Linked DNA regions of Caenorhabditis elegans. The protein of the gene in region 3 interacts with the protein of the main gene of each other region in a pairwise test. Each region holds a gene or a part of one and is shown on either strand. Other genes may lie near its edges.

Region 1 (4,960 bases), on a different chromosome or scaffold from region 3:
GTCATCTTTAATTTTCGCGATGTTTGTTTATAGTCTATCTTCGCACGCGCTATGTTTTCAGTTTTTACTGAAAATATATCGGAACGAGTGAATTCGGAAGACAAGAAAAAACTGGATTTTTTCGGATAGTAACAGAACGGGGAAGTAGTAGTAGTTGGGGGGAAAAACACGAAGATTTTTGGTTGGGCGATCAGTTGAGACAAATGAAATGAAGATATCTTCCAAATTTCAGAAAGAAAATTGTTCCAACAATGACTACTGACGTCATTGATCCGAATGTTTCCTCAATCTTTGCTCCAACAAATCCAGCTGGAAATATTCCGATTCAATGCTCATTGTGCCCGTTCTCCACTCACTCCACAGATCTTCTGTTCATTCATTTGGCAATGCAGCATGCTCAGGAACTTGCACAATGTTCAGGATTACTTGCAGATAATTCTTCAGAAACATCTACATCAAGTAGTAGTGATGGTGAACCAATGATAACTGATATTGATTTAGATGTGAAACCATTAATTGATCAGTCATTAATGCTTCACTTAAATACTCCATTATCTAATTGAATTGATCTTCTTCCAAATCATGACCTATATTTTACTACTTCATTTTTTTGTTAGGGCTTTAGATGCTTGTGATCCCCCAACCTCTGAAATTGGTTCACGTTTTCTTTCTAAATACCCAGTGCCTTTGTATTTTCAAAATTCTTTTTTTACAATAAACCAATTAAAAAAAAATATTTAAATTGAGATGCAATTTTCCACGAGAGATCTTCATATTAATCACAATTGAAATCCCACTTGAATTGATTCGTGAGATACTGTTTGAATTGGGCAGTCTTCTTTTTCAAATCATCACCGGCGTGTGCAGAGTCTCGGACGTTGGCGAACAACATTGAGAGAGTAGTTGTCAAAAAGTTGTCACGAGAAACAATATCGACGAAAAAGTCAGTGGGGCATTCTTTGAGTTGGAAGAAGAGAACCTGTAATTTATGTATTTGAAGTATTTTCTAATTGTGTTCCGTATGTTCTTACTCTGATAAATGACATGAACAACTCTTTCTCAGAGCCTAATGAATTTGGACAACACGACATCAAATGAATAATTCGTTTCCATTGCTCGAATCCTTCAAAAACTTGTCCCTGCAGAAAACAAACAAATGCAATTTGCATTTCAGCCAGCAATTGCTTCCAATCACCACCGAGAGCGCGAAGAAGACGGTAAAGACGATCAGAATATTCAATTCCTACTCGATTCTGGCTAACCTGAAATATTTTTATATTTATTTTTAAATACATTTTTAGAAAAAACAATTTTATTTTTTTATTACAAGACAGAAAACTAAATAGATTTGCCATATTTCAAGCAATTTCCCATGGAATTCGGAACTCTGATAATTTTTTTCTCAAAGAAAAAAAACAACATTAAACTTTAAAAAGCATTATAAAATTTTTTTTTAGAAATAAGTTTTTCGACAAAACTGGAATTATTGTAAATTTCATTAAAAAAATTACTCATACAGGAATTAGTATTTCAAATCAACTTTTTTACTGGTTCCGACATTAAATGAAAATAATTTAAATATTTAGCTATGTAATATCGTGTTCAATGGATACTAAGATGTTTTTAAAAAGAAACCTTTTGAATATAGCATATTTATAGATGTTACCCATGCGCGAAATTTCAGGTTTTTTTTGTTTAGAAAATCCGATACAGTATCCGGTCTCGACACGACAAATTTTTTGGAAAGTGCGATTGAATTACAAGCTGCAGAAATTTCGTCGATTTTGCATAATCTTTCTTACGATTTTCAGTAGATAAAAAATTTCATCGAAAAACTATGACAAATCGATGAAAATTCCGAAGAAACGAGTTCGAAAGTACAGTACTCTTTAAAAGGATTCAACAAAAATTTGTCGTGTTGACCAGGGGTGAGCGGCAATCGGCGATCGGCGATTTTCGTGATTTTTCGGCGATCGCCGATGAAATTTTATAGTCCAAGATAGACCCCTCTGAAGAAGGAAGAAGGTATATTTTCGGACTATTTTTCACTACTTTTCGAATTTTAAGGTATCAAGGAGTGCTTTTCGTTGCCTAATATTCCTGTTTTTATAAAAAATTATTTGAAAGAGCTCTTAAAATTAGGATTTTAAAATTGAAAAAAATTAGACGCACACTGATCGGCAATCGGCGATCGCCGATTTTTTTTTGGCAATTTGTGATCGCCGATCGCCGATTTTTTTTGGGCGGCTGCTCAGCCCTGGTGTTGACCCCGGATAATAATTTTAGGCACAAAAATCGCAACACTGTGTCTGGGTAATATAAAAAAACTAATTTTAAAACTTTTCTCATAACTCGAAAATTTATATTTTTAAAGCAAAAACGAAAAAAAATTTACCGTGAGAGGTGGTATATCTTGGAATCGAATTTCGTATCCCTCTCGAATCTTCATAATCGGTAATCCATGCTGATCTGTGAATCTCGTCCGAACTGGATTCTCTCGATCCACTCGATTTCGAAAATGACTGTCTTTGTGCTCTTTTTCTGCATTTTCCATGAACTCAGTCTCAAGGCTGACGAGCTCTGCTTGTGAAGTGATACGACCAAGTATGGGATGAATTCTTTCGACAGTGTCGGCCGTGATAAAATCAGTAAGACCATACCAGCTTCTATAGTTTTCATATGGATAGGGGGCTAGTGATGAATCCATATTCTTCAGTTGACGCTTCTTTTCAGAGATTTGCTGAAAACATACTACGACATAGAATTTATGAATTTAAATAGTTACATCAGTTGGAACTTCTTCATCTTCAAATGTTTCACTCTCTGTGTTCCATTTCTTTACCAAAATTTCCCCAGCTTTGAAGTTATGAAAGAATCCTGAAAGTAAAATGTTTCACAAAATGTAATATTGTCGCTATCTAACCAATTCTTGGAGCAGATTTAATGCTGCAATAAACAAAATGAACTCCAGGCGGAATCATTTTCAGACCCATGAACTTTTCTCCCGTCTTCCATGATTTGTAGTCAATACCGAACTCTGAAGCCTGCGGAAATCCCAGAAAAAGAAGAAAAGCTCCATTGCGATACATGTAGTCTACAATTTCAGGAGGCAATGCGCCACCCATTCGCATAGCTTGAAGCAAGATCGCAGTGTTGTCGCTCATCTAAAACGTAGTGCATGTTATATCTATAGATCTACCCGCATAATACCTTGACGAATTTTACATGATTGGAAAAACAACAAAGAAAAATATAACATAAGAAATTATTTATTTGCTTTCAACAAATACAGTGGATACCAAATTAGATTGGGTTCTCAATCCACTTGGTGAGTGGTCCATGCTCACGTTGGAGTTGAACTCCAACTCCGTCGGAGCGGAGTCTTCCTTCAGCACGCATGCGCTCGTAGTCTTCGCGATCCCACTTGGTGAATCCCCACTTGCGGGAAGAGACGATGATTTGACGTCCTGGGAACTTGAACTTGGCACGACGGAAGGCTTCAATAGCGTGCTTGACGTTCTGAACACAATTATTAGCACCTGATATTTCTAGTGGAGGAACTTACTCCTTCCTTGATTCTCATGGAGAAAAGAATATCTCCAATGTCGACACGAGCGACCAATCCTTGTGGCTTTCCGTAAGCTCCACGCATTCCAGTTTGGAGACGATCAGCTCCGGCACAGGAAAGCATTTTGTTGATACGGGTGACGTGGAATGGATGCTTGCGAACACGGAGATGGAATCCGTCCTACAAAATACAGGTTGGATGAAAAATTGAACTAAATCCTTGTCTTACCTTTCCGCAGTTCTTGACCATGTACTTGTTGGCGCAAATACGGGCGGCTTCGAGAGCTTCAGAGGAAAGATGCTCACGCTCGTTGGACATCATGTGCACACATGCTGGGAAGGTGTCAACGTTAGCCCTCTTGTTTCCCAAATCGAAGATTCTGATCTTCGCGTCCGGAACTCCTCTGCAGAAGCGGGACTTTGGGTATGGCTTGTTCTTGATATAGCGGTAGCACCGCGCTGGACGTCTACCCATGTTCTGAAAATTGAGAAGACTACAATAAATTACGACAAACGGAGAATATATATATATAGAAGAGAATCAAAGAACATGTTTTGTCACCATCACGCCAAGAATTGTCATCATTATTTCGAAATACTGTCAAAGCATTATTGATTCGAGAACTAAAAACAGTGGATAATAGGAAAACAATATCAAACATGACTTCGAATTTCGAAATGATTCAAACAAATTTCGTTTGCAATATTTAAGACAATGAGAGCTATAGTTTTAAATAACTGACGTTTGAATCATGATAAATCAGAAAAAAATGTATAAAATAAAACAAAAAGGCAAAAAATCCACTGCTTCAAGAGAAAATCGAGAGAAAAATTTTAGGCCAAAGAGAAATTGAGGACAACACTAATGTTCACTGCCGTCGGTGAACTACATACAAAGCATAACAATTGACGACATTTGTGCACCGTACTCATTTCGAAATTTCGGACAAACAAAAAAGATTTTTCATTAAAATCCTATTTCGCGAAGGCATTTTTTGCAATTAATTCATTACTCAAGGCTAAAATTGAGTATTTTTAGAACTTTATAGCTATATTTCACAATGCCCGACAAAATTCCTGAAATCAAGGTGAGTTCTGAAGGACTTTTCTGAAAAAAAATACAATTTTAGATTGTTCCACTGGGTGCGGGACAAGATGTTGGACGGTCGTGTATTCTTATTACTATCGGTGGAAAGAATATTATGGTAGATTGTGGAATGCATATGGGATACCAAGATGATCGAAGATTTCCTGACTTTTCGTAAGTTCTGCAAGCTTATTCAATTCAAATCTAAAATAATAACTTTTTCAGGTATATTGGTGGAGGTGGAAGACTAACTGATTACCTAGATTGTGTCATCATTTCACATTTTCATTTGGATCACTGTGGAAG
Region 2 (4,958 bases), on a different chromosome or scaffold from region 3:
CATCTATTCCGCAATAACAGTAAACGTGAAATTATTCACACTTTTTTCCATCTTTATATACTCTCTCGTTCATCTACCAGTTTTGTATTGTCCATTCGTCCATCACAAATTCCCATTCATCCCGTCATCTGGTGTATTCTTTCCGTTTTTGATACTTTTTTGTCTGTGCCCTGGAAAAGAGTTGGATGGAAAGAGAGAGTGAAGGAAAACGATGGAAAAGAGCAGAATTAGCATAATTATGACACTTTTTCTCTCGCCTCTTCCCTATTTTTCTCAACCCCGCGCTGCTCGAATGAGAAACGTCTCGAATAGGTTTTAAAGCTTCAACTTTTTACTGTTCTAATGTTTTCATTTATTTCCAAGAATTTAGTTGATCATTCACGATTCCCATGGCTTAGGTCAAAAATTAGAAATACTTTGCGGAATTCTATCACAATGCAGTTATATTTTCACATTTTTAGAACTTGTCCTAAAATACAAGAAGTTATCTTTATTTTCAACATCTGGAAAAAATTCGTTTTCAACATCTAAAGCGACAATTGGAAAATTGTCAATTGAAAGTCATTTAGTTAGCGGCTTACATTAATACAATTGTTTGGTTAAACATATTTTTCAAACGCCCTCAAAAGTCCAAAAAGCACTCGATATTTTGGAGATTAGCAAGCACGGCATAAAAGAAACAGCAAAAAAAGAAAACGACACGTGTCATATATTTGGCTGAGAAAGTAGGGATTAGAGTGTCGAAGAAACATGACAAATGAATTGGCATTCAGAAGACGTGCATACATGGCACGACATATTGCTTCGGGAACTCCTTACACTGCATTTTTTGGTTTCCTCAATGTATATTTTGTTTCACGATCAGTCTCCGCTTGTTGTTCTTTTTTCTTATGCTCCAGTGGGAAAAATGTTAAAAACTACACCTATAGTGCACCCATGATGAAAATATCATTCTAACACTTTCCAACATTTTTTGAAAATGTTATATTTACATTAATAGCAATTAATCAGTTTCCACCTATCATAATTGGTCCAATACATTGTTTAATTTTAAGTTCGCTTCAATTATTTACAAGTGAACCTAGAACCTAGGTCTTCGCATTTGCAGCATTGCTCTAAATTAATGAAAAACTCCAATTTTTTTAATTGGCAATTTACCAACATTTTCATTTGAAAGTATTTTATTTAGATATAATAATAATAATAATTTATTACGCTCGCTGGGAGACGTGAAGGAATACAGAATACAAAAGTTATCATTGTTCGCTTGTACTAGAATTGGTGCAGTCGGGCAATTGTTTCCATTCCATTAGAATGTTGTCCTTGTCCTTGCGTTGTCCTTGCGTAGACTCCCCCATAGTGGGCGAGCGATTCCCGAGTGAAAATATGTAGATTTTTAGATATGTAGATATGTAGATATGTAGATTTTTTACTACATAATTGTAAGTCTGTGTAGATTCGAACTCCATGTTGTGTTACAGTACTTCCGAACACGATCTTAAAACTTTTTGAGCATCTCCCATTTTCTCATTTTAGGAAAAAATTTAACTTATAACTTCGAGGTGACAATTGTTAATTCTAAATTTTCCCACGTTAACTCTCTCTCTGTCTGCTTCTCTCTTGTCCCTCTTCTTCATCGCTCTAATTAATTCGCGTGTGAGACGAGAGAAGAGCATCCAATAATCCATGTCCTTTTCCCGCTTCCTCTCTCTTTCCCTCATCTTCCTATCTATTTTCCATCGGACCATGAACAATTCTGTTGCAGGATGTCATCTGAAGCAGTAGCACAAGCCACAGCCGCCACGACGTCTCCTGAACACGGGGTCCCCACATCATCGGCCACGCCTACTCCTCCGCCGAGCAAAGGGGGTGGAGCCGGTGGTGGTGGGGGAGGAGAGCAACAACAAGTCCCATTTCGTTAGTTTTACAAGAGATTTTGAATTAAAGTGTAAACAAATATACCAGACTTCAAGTTTTTTGAGTGTCATTTTTCAAATTTAGATGGTGTGTTTAAATATTCCCGGATCTTCAAAAATCTGATGTTTAGATATTTGAAAAAGCAAGACAAAATCAAATCAGTTAAAAAAAATATGAAAAAAACACAATAACACAGAAAAAAGGCTCTGAAATCCAGATAGGTTCAGTCTGATTTGCCAGCCCTAGTAAGACTATATTAACTTTTCGTAAGGAATTGCTCCTTCGTTTTGGTCAACCTTTCCTCAAATATTTTCACTCGAAGAATAAGAAAAAATAGAGGGGATATTATTGTTTTTCGAACCTTCTCGATTAAAAATTCCCTGTCTTCTCCTCTTCTTCTTATTTTTCCCCGCCGCCGCCTGACCACAAAAATAGGCTATTATTCATATGGCTGGACGTCTTTCATGTTGCCTTCCCTACAAAAATCTATTTTACACGGAAGTATAAGAAAATATTTTAAATATATTGCACTAGGAAACTTCTGTGCACAGAATGAAAATGTATGACATTGGTTATTTATATTTGCTTACTTAACACAATTAAAATAGGAAAAGCTTGTTCTTCAATATATTCGATTTTTTACAGAAATGATCCCTCCTGGTCATTTTTTCGCAAATCCCTTCTTGAATCCGTATATTCCAACAGCGGGTGCTCCTGCTCAGGAGGGTGAAGCTCAACCTCAGATGGTATTCTCTCCAGCTCAATATCAGGAAGTCATGCATCATTATTTTCAACAAATGATGGCCGCGAGTGGAGCACAGTTTCCGATTCCGTTTCCCATGCAATTTCAGCCGGCTCTTCAACAGCCAAGACCTTCTTCTCAGGTTTGTTTTATAAAGCGTTATTTTACAAAAACAATTGAAACACTGTCAATTTTTCATTAGAAGCAGTTTTTAAAACTGGGGTTGATAAGCTTTAAAAAAATGAAGGAAATGACATTAGTCATCAGAAAATGTATGTTTCGCAATTTTGGAACATTGTTGTACAACTAGAAAAGTTGCGAAATTTATTTTTGCAGAAAGAACTATTTTTAGAGCTCTCGAAATTGTTTTATTCACAATAAAAACATGTGAACTGGAAAAACCATATAATTTTCTGATTTGGCGAATTTGCCACAATATAATAACCTAAGACATTACATGCTTATTGGATGTTTGATGATGCATGGCTGACACCCGCTCGAGGCGTGTGAGAGGCGCCTCCGTCACTCTCTGCCGGCTAGAAATTCTAATTTTGATGTAACCTAGTCAAGCTCACAAGAAGTTCACAAATTCTTATTACAAAGTTATGCTTCTGCATTGATGCAGAACAGTATTTGATATTTCTAGACATTGAAATAGATCTAGAAATATATTACCAAAAGCAATGCATTTATGGCTCCCAAAATTCTCATCTGCACTTCATAACCTTCAAGTATTCTCAGGCATCATCATCTCATCGCTCAGAAGACGATAACGGAAGGCAGACAGCTGGCAGTGTTGTGTCCTCTAATGTGTCACCAAATCATCGAGAGGTTCGTTTACGGCAGAGCCCAAACACTTGAACTCACAAGCAAAACGCTGGAAATTAGGCGAAGTGATGACTTGGGGAGCTTCTTCATGTTCTTCCTGTAGCTCTAAAATAAATAAATGTGGTTCGGGAATTTAAAAGATAAAATTTTAAAAAATGTTCATTAAAATATACTTCTAGTTTAGAAATCAAACTCAGTCTTTAATTTTTAGGTGAGACCAGCAGAAGATTCTACGGAAACAAGCGGCGTTGTTCAAAATAATGGTTAGTTGGTTTTTCACTTTTAGAAATTCAGGCCAAATGCCAGAAGATCAGTCATTATCTCAAACGTTTGGCGTACAGTTTTCACAGAACGTATTAAGTTTCCTTCTTCGTCTAGTGGAATGTAAAACTCCAACTTTAAAAATTTCGAATAAATTGCATTTTCCAAAAGTTCTTCAGAAAATCTTCAAAAAAGATCCAGCATGTATCTCATTTGTCACAAGTGAGCATGTAACACGAGAACATTTTGGTGAGAAGAAGAGACAAGAGAGATATCTCTGCGTCTCTTATCATCTCACACTCTCTCTTTTTGCTCAGCCGATTTACTAATTGTTCCATGTCCGAAAGGAGTTGTACGTCTCCCACCATCATGTCTGGACGGAACTTAGAGACCACACGAAAAGTTGAAGGGATTTCCCCTGAACATTTTTCTAATTGTCAATTTTCAAACCTAAATATGTTTCAGATGAGCTTCTTGTACCAACTTCCACGTCATCCGATGTGACAATTGGTGACGTCATCGAAAAATCAGATTCTCCTGAAAATTCGCAAGAATCAGCGGGAGGAGAGGAGAAAAGTGAAGAAAAGCGGAAATTATCCGGTGATCGAACGGATTCACTCATTCGAAAACAAATGAGTGAAATGGAAAAAGAGATAACACGACGATCACAGAATAAAAATATTAAAACGGTATGTCGTTCGGTTTCGGAATTTTGAGAATTAATTCTTGAAAAAAAAAAGTTTTTCACTGAAATCTATGATCAAAGTTCCTAAAGCCAAATGTGAAAAACTCAATTTATGGAGTCACATAGTATGCGCATAGAATGTGCAAGAAACCTCCAACTTTCCCAAAAATAACAACTGTTTTCGAATATTTGGAATATGCCAAAACTTTGACACAAATTTTTGAAAAAACCTGAACATTTTTGGCTGTTGTTTTATTTCGATAGACCTTTTTTCTTTTAGACCTTTCTACATGTTTTGGCAAAATTTCCACTGGCGCTACACCACTTTTAAACAATAAGCATTAGACCATTAGAACTGTGAACTTTAGATATCGAGGCCAACAAAAATTCGAATATTTTTCCCTTTGGAACAATTGTCTCTTTCTGCACATCCTCGTAACAAATCAAATAATCTAATTTTTGTCTATCTACAACTCTCTTTTTCTACTAAATCTTTTTTGGAGACTCCTGCCCAATTTCACAAAT
Region 3 (4,624 bases):
AAATCTTGGCAATTTGCCAAATCGGCGAAACGAACTGAAAACATTTGAATTCTTGATTTAGCCGGTAAATTCCTAACGAGACCCATGCTTCGGGGGCGGAGCGCGTTTCCATTGCATAAAATTCTTACCAACGCAGAAAATAAGCGGTGATTTGTGTAAAAATTGAATGTGATTATCCTGTGACGTCATCGTCATCAAACTATCACCCCAAGATTGGCATCGGCTCACAAATGCACAAATTAGAGCCACCAAACTGACGATTTCACCCTCATTTCGATCGTTGCTGTAATTTTTAAAGAAGGCTTTGTGTGTTTGAATGGATAATATTTGCAAATTCTCACTTTACAAAAATCGGTTTTCCAAATTCGCTCAGAATAAACACCTGAAATGGAAGTTGCTCAAGATGTTCAAATATCACATCAGCATTTTTCAAATTCTCTTCAACATCTTCAATCTCTACTTGTGACACTTTATAACTCGCTTCACTTCCAGTATCGGCAGCTTCTGATCCACCAGGTACTTCTACTTCCATTCTGAAAATTGGCGAGATTTTTCTGAAAATTTCATGTTTTTTCAAGAATTAAGTATTGCTGTGGATTCAAAAAATGAGAACCAGACAGAGAGAAAATAAAAAAATAATATGGGAAACTGAAAATTAAAAAATTATTATGCACAAAGAATATACAAAATGCTTAATTGGAAAATTAGATCAATTGAAATTTCAGCAAAAAATACAGAAAAAAAAATGCAATGGTTTCAGTAACAATATCTACATATGCACACACGGATTCAATAGAAATTTTAAAAAAAGATATAAATCTACAAGCCAGTTCTCTCCATAATAGTTTGCAAGTCTCTCTGAAGAATTATATTTTTAGAAAGTGTCTCTTCAAGCATTCTTTGCAGCTTTTTGTTCATTTCACGGACATCTGAATCTCGGGAATCTTGGCCAAGTGTATTGAGCAGTTTTCGGAATGACGCTGGAATAATTTTCAGTATTTAAAAAAATGAAAATTTTAGAAGCTAAACCTTCAAGTTTCGGTTGAACAGAAGAAGAAGAAGAAGAACCCAGATTATTCTGTTGTTGAAATCCGGTGCCAAGAGGTTTTTCGCGGATCAAATTCTCAATTAATTCTCCTTTTTCCGTCACTTCCCGTCGCAAGCGACTATTTTCTGATTCGAGTTGGAGAATCTGAAAGATGATTATTCCAATATTTCAAAGAATTCTGCAAAGAAGATCCTACGGAATCTGCATTTTCCGAATGAATCTTTTGTAACGTGGCTAGACGAGTGATAAGTTCAACGTTCTCCGATTCGATTGCCGACATTGATGAAACACTTTCGTTTCCGTCGAAAGTCTGAAAAATTTGATGAATATATGTTAGTCCTTGATTAAATGTGCTTACATGACTACTTTGCCTATCATTTTCTGGTGGAACCACATGCCATCCAGCTCTTTCTTCGCTTTTTCTCTCATAAGAATCAGCTCGTTTTCTCTCTTCTTTTAATGATTTTTGTAGCTCTTTCACAAGAGACATTGCTTTTTTCACTGCGAGCTTCTTGTCTTCTTCCGCTGATTTCAGCTTCTCCTCTAAACTCGTCATTTTCAAAAGGAAACATTCTTTATCCGACTCAAAACTCTTTTTAAGATCATCAACTTCCAATTGATAACGAGTTTCGAGAAGAAGTACTCGGTCTTCTAAAAGTTTTTCGTGGTTCTTTGCAGCTTCATTAGTGTTCTGTTGGATTTGAGACGAAAGACGATGATTTTCCGATTTTAAAACTTCGATCTTTTTTTTCAAACCTGATATTTCTTGTTGAGATATTTCAGTCAGCTTTAGTTTTTCTGATTGTAGAGCAGCAAGGTTTTTAGAAACGTCATGATTTAGTTGATTTTCAGAGACGAGTTTAAAATTCTCAGCTTTTAAACTGTCAATTTCAGATTTCTGACTCAACATTGTCTTTCTATATTCCAGATTATCATCAGAAAGCTTTTTATTTTCATCCATCACTGCATTGTTACTCTCCTTCATTTTTTCAGCAATCCCTTCATTTTCTCTGCGTAATTCTTCAATTTCTTTCCTAATTCGCAAATTTTCCTCGACAACCTTCTCCTTAATTTTAAGAATAGCTTCGGATTCTGAAGTTATTGAGAGTAAACGATCTTCAAGCTCGACGTTCAATGTCTGACAGTTTTCAAGTTCTTCACTGAGACTTGTAACTTTGTTGCTTATAGCAGGAATTGTTTCTGTAACCTTTTATACAATTAATTGTATTGAACAAAGTTGGAATAAAATTACCTTGACATAGCAAAACTTTTTCGTCTGTTAAATTTTTAATAGCTTCTTTTAATTGTTCCACTGTTTGCCTTTCTTCTGCTTCTTTTTCCAGAGGATGATCAGAATAAGACGACATTTGATTCTTTAATGTCTCATTTTGTGTGGATATCTGTAATTTGGACATTGAAAAGCTTGAATTTTAAATGTAAAGTTTACTGTCTTGAGCTCTTCAAAAAGGGTAGATTGTTGAAGGCGAAACTCTTGCTCTTGGGTCTCTAGTTTCCGCCGAAGCGACTCAATTTCTGCTTCATCTTTTTTCGAAGAAGATGCTCTGTTGATTAACTGAAAGATTTAAATTAATTATAATAAAAATAAACTTTTCCTCACCTTGCTAGCAAATTGCAATGCTTCATTTTTCGGAGAGTTTTGGTGTTGGGAAGCTGCTGCGTTCTTCTTTTTAATCTCCTCTCGTAACTCGTAATTTTCATTTTTCAGCTGCAAAAGTTGCTCTTGAACAAGAAGGAATTCCTCCTTCGACAAGCCACCCGACTCTGTCGCCATTCTGCAAAAAGTTTGCAACGTAAAATACATAAATTGGGTGTTTAGGAGCAAACGTTTAAAAAACGAACTATAAATCTACACAAGGCGGTTGGAAAAATCAAAGAAAACTTGATATTTCATGTTTTTGTCCAATTACTCTTATTGATGCATAACACAAAAACAAAAAAACATAAACAAAATGCAAAACAGGTCAGAACACACGCGACTTGACGGTAAAGTGCACAGATGGCCGTAGCCTTGAGTTGAATATTCTAGTCCACGGCCATCACGAGGACATTTTTTCCACAGGATTTTTTAGACTTTTAGCGGTTATTCAAACATTTATCGTTTAGTTTTCCATGCTTTTCGAAGATAGGCAGAAAAATCGATCAACGGTAAGAAAAGTATATGTTCGTACAATCATATAATCTATTTACAGGGTCCAACACTCATCGGATTCAATCAAACTCAAAATGAACATGAGAATACAGTATGCCCAACACATCCGGAGTCTTCGGATCGAATTTTGAAGATTAAAGAGGCATTAACAAAGACGAAAATACTCGAAAAATGCACTGTACTAACAAATTTTCTGGAGATCGACGATGCTGACTTGGAAGTAACCCACGATAAAAGCATGGTTAAAGATTTAATGGAATCTGAAAAGAAAACACAAGAAGATATTAATTCACAGTGCGAAAAATATGATTCCGTGTTTATGACAGAGGTATTAATTGGGTAAAAAGAAGCACAAAACGTTGAGAATAAAGTTTCAGAACTCGATGAAAGTTGCCAAAGATGGTGTCGCGTGTGTTCGAGATTTGACGAATAGAATCATGGCTAATGAAGCTTCGAATGGTTTTGCAGTCGTCAGGCCACCCGGACATCATGCAGATTCTGTATCGCCTTGTGGTTTCTGCTTATTCAATAATGTCGCCCAAGCCGCCGAAGAAGCATTTTTCAGTGGAGCCGAACGGATTTTGATTGTCGATTTGGATGTACACCACGGACACGGAACTCAGCGGATTTTTTATGATGATAAAAGGTTAAAAAGGATTTTATAGTGAAATAATAATTTTCTTCAATGAATTTCAGAGTACTATATTTCTCAATTCATCGCCACGAACATGGTCTCTTTTGGCCTCATCTTCCCGAATCAGATTTTGATCATATTGGATCAGGAAAGGGATTGGGATACAACGCAAATCTGGCTTTAAATGAAACTGGATGCACTGATTCTGATTATCTATCGATTATTTTCCATGTTCTACTTCCTCTTGCAACTCAGTTTGATCCACATTTTGTGATAATCTCTGCTGGATTCGACGCACTTCTCGGTGATCCTTTAGGTGGAATGTGTCTTACACCTGATGGTTATTCACATATTTTATATCATCTGAAATCACTTGCACAGGGAAGAATGTTGGTCGTATTGGAAGGAGGTTACAATCATCAAATCTCTGCAGTCGCTGTTCAAAGATGTGTGAGAGTACTGCTCGGATATGCTCCATTTTCAATTGAATTGAATGAAGCACCGAAAGAAAGTACGGTTGATTCATGTGTTAGCCTTGTTTCCGTTCTTCGACATCATTGGAACTGCTTCGACTATTTTCCGTCTCGGACTTCACTAAGATTGGCTCAGTGGCCGATGTACGTTGACTATTTGGGCTCAATTAGACCCGAAATCACCCCAAAACGGGCGAATTTCATTAGGAAAATTTCAAAGTTAAAAAAAAACCGAATTTCGCTAAATCTGCAGCAGGAATACGTATTTTATATTTTTAAAACTTTTAGAATGTATTTTT

Evidence for each region.
Region 1: the proteins of F41H10.4 (region 3) and F10B5.2 interact in a two-hybrid assay, tested with the Caenorhabditis elegans proteins (one large-scale study listed by BioGRID).
Region 2: the proteins of F41H10.4 (region 3) and lin-10 interact in a two-hybrid assay, tested with the Caenorhabditis elegans proteins (one large-scale study listed by BioGRID).

Annotation. Positions count from the first base shown.
Region 1 is NC_003280.10:8,142,966-8,147,925, reverse strand, and holds F10B5.2 (Protein AAR2 homolog), read right to left. Parts: upstream 3,165-4,960; 5' UTR 3,126-3,164; coding exon 2,924-3,125; intron 2,878-2,923; coding exon 2,786-2,877; intron 2,741-2,785; coding exon 2,396-2,740; intron 1,263-2,395; coding exon 1,032-1,262; intron 980-1,031; coding exon 776-979; 3' UTR 690-775; downstream 1-689. Other genes in the region: btbz-2 (BTB domain-containing protein), read left to right, coding at 233-563; rpl-10L (Large ribosomal subunit protein uL16), read right to left, coding at 3,304-3,519, 3,566-3,748, 3,797-4,042; ints-11 (Integrator complex subunit 11), read left to right, coding at 4,629-4,655, 4,698-4,828, 4,880-4,960.
Region 2 is NC_003279.8:8,116,122-8,121,079, reverse strand, and holds the start of lin-10 (Protein lin-10), read left to right. Parts: upstream 1-1,765; 5' UTR 1,766-1,766; coding exon 1,767-1,917; intron 1,918-2,562; coding exon 2,563-2,801; intron 2,802-3,400; coding exon 3,401-3,490; intron 3,491-3,698; coding exon 3,699-3,750; intron 3,751-4,213; coding exon 4,214-4,437; intron 4,438-4,958. UniProt on the Caenorhabditis elegans protein: Required specifically for the determination of 3 vulval precursor cell fates P5.p, P6.p and P7.p during late second and early third larval stages; required for basolateral localization of receptor tyrosine kinase let-23.
Region 3 is NC_003282.8:5,362,776-5,367,399, reverse strand, and holds F41H10.4 (GRIP domain-containing protein), read right to left. Parts: upstream 2,842-4,624; 5' UTR 2,841-2,841; coding exon 2,667-2,840; intron 2,622-2,666; coding exon 2,496-2,621; intron 2,449-2,495; coding exon 2,301-2,448; intron 2,249-2,300; coding exon 1,407-2,248; intron 1,359-1,406; coding exon 1,245-1,358; intron 1,193-1,244; coding exon 1,030-1,192; intron 981-1,029; coding exon 820-980; 3' UTR 649-819; downstream 1-648. Other genes in the region: sand-1 (Vacuolar fusion protein MON1 homolog), read right to left, coding at 129-283, 342-532; hda-6 (histone deacetylase), read left to right, coding at 3,179-3,214, 3,259-3,546, 3,590-3,864, 3,915-4,469.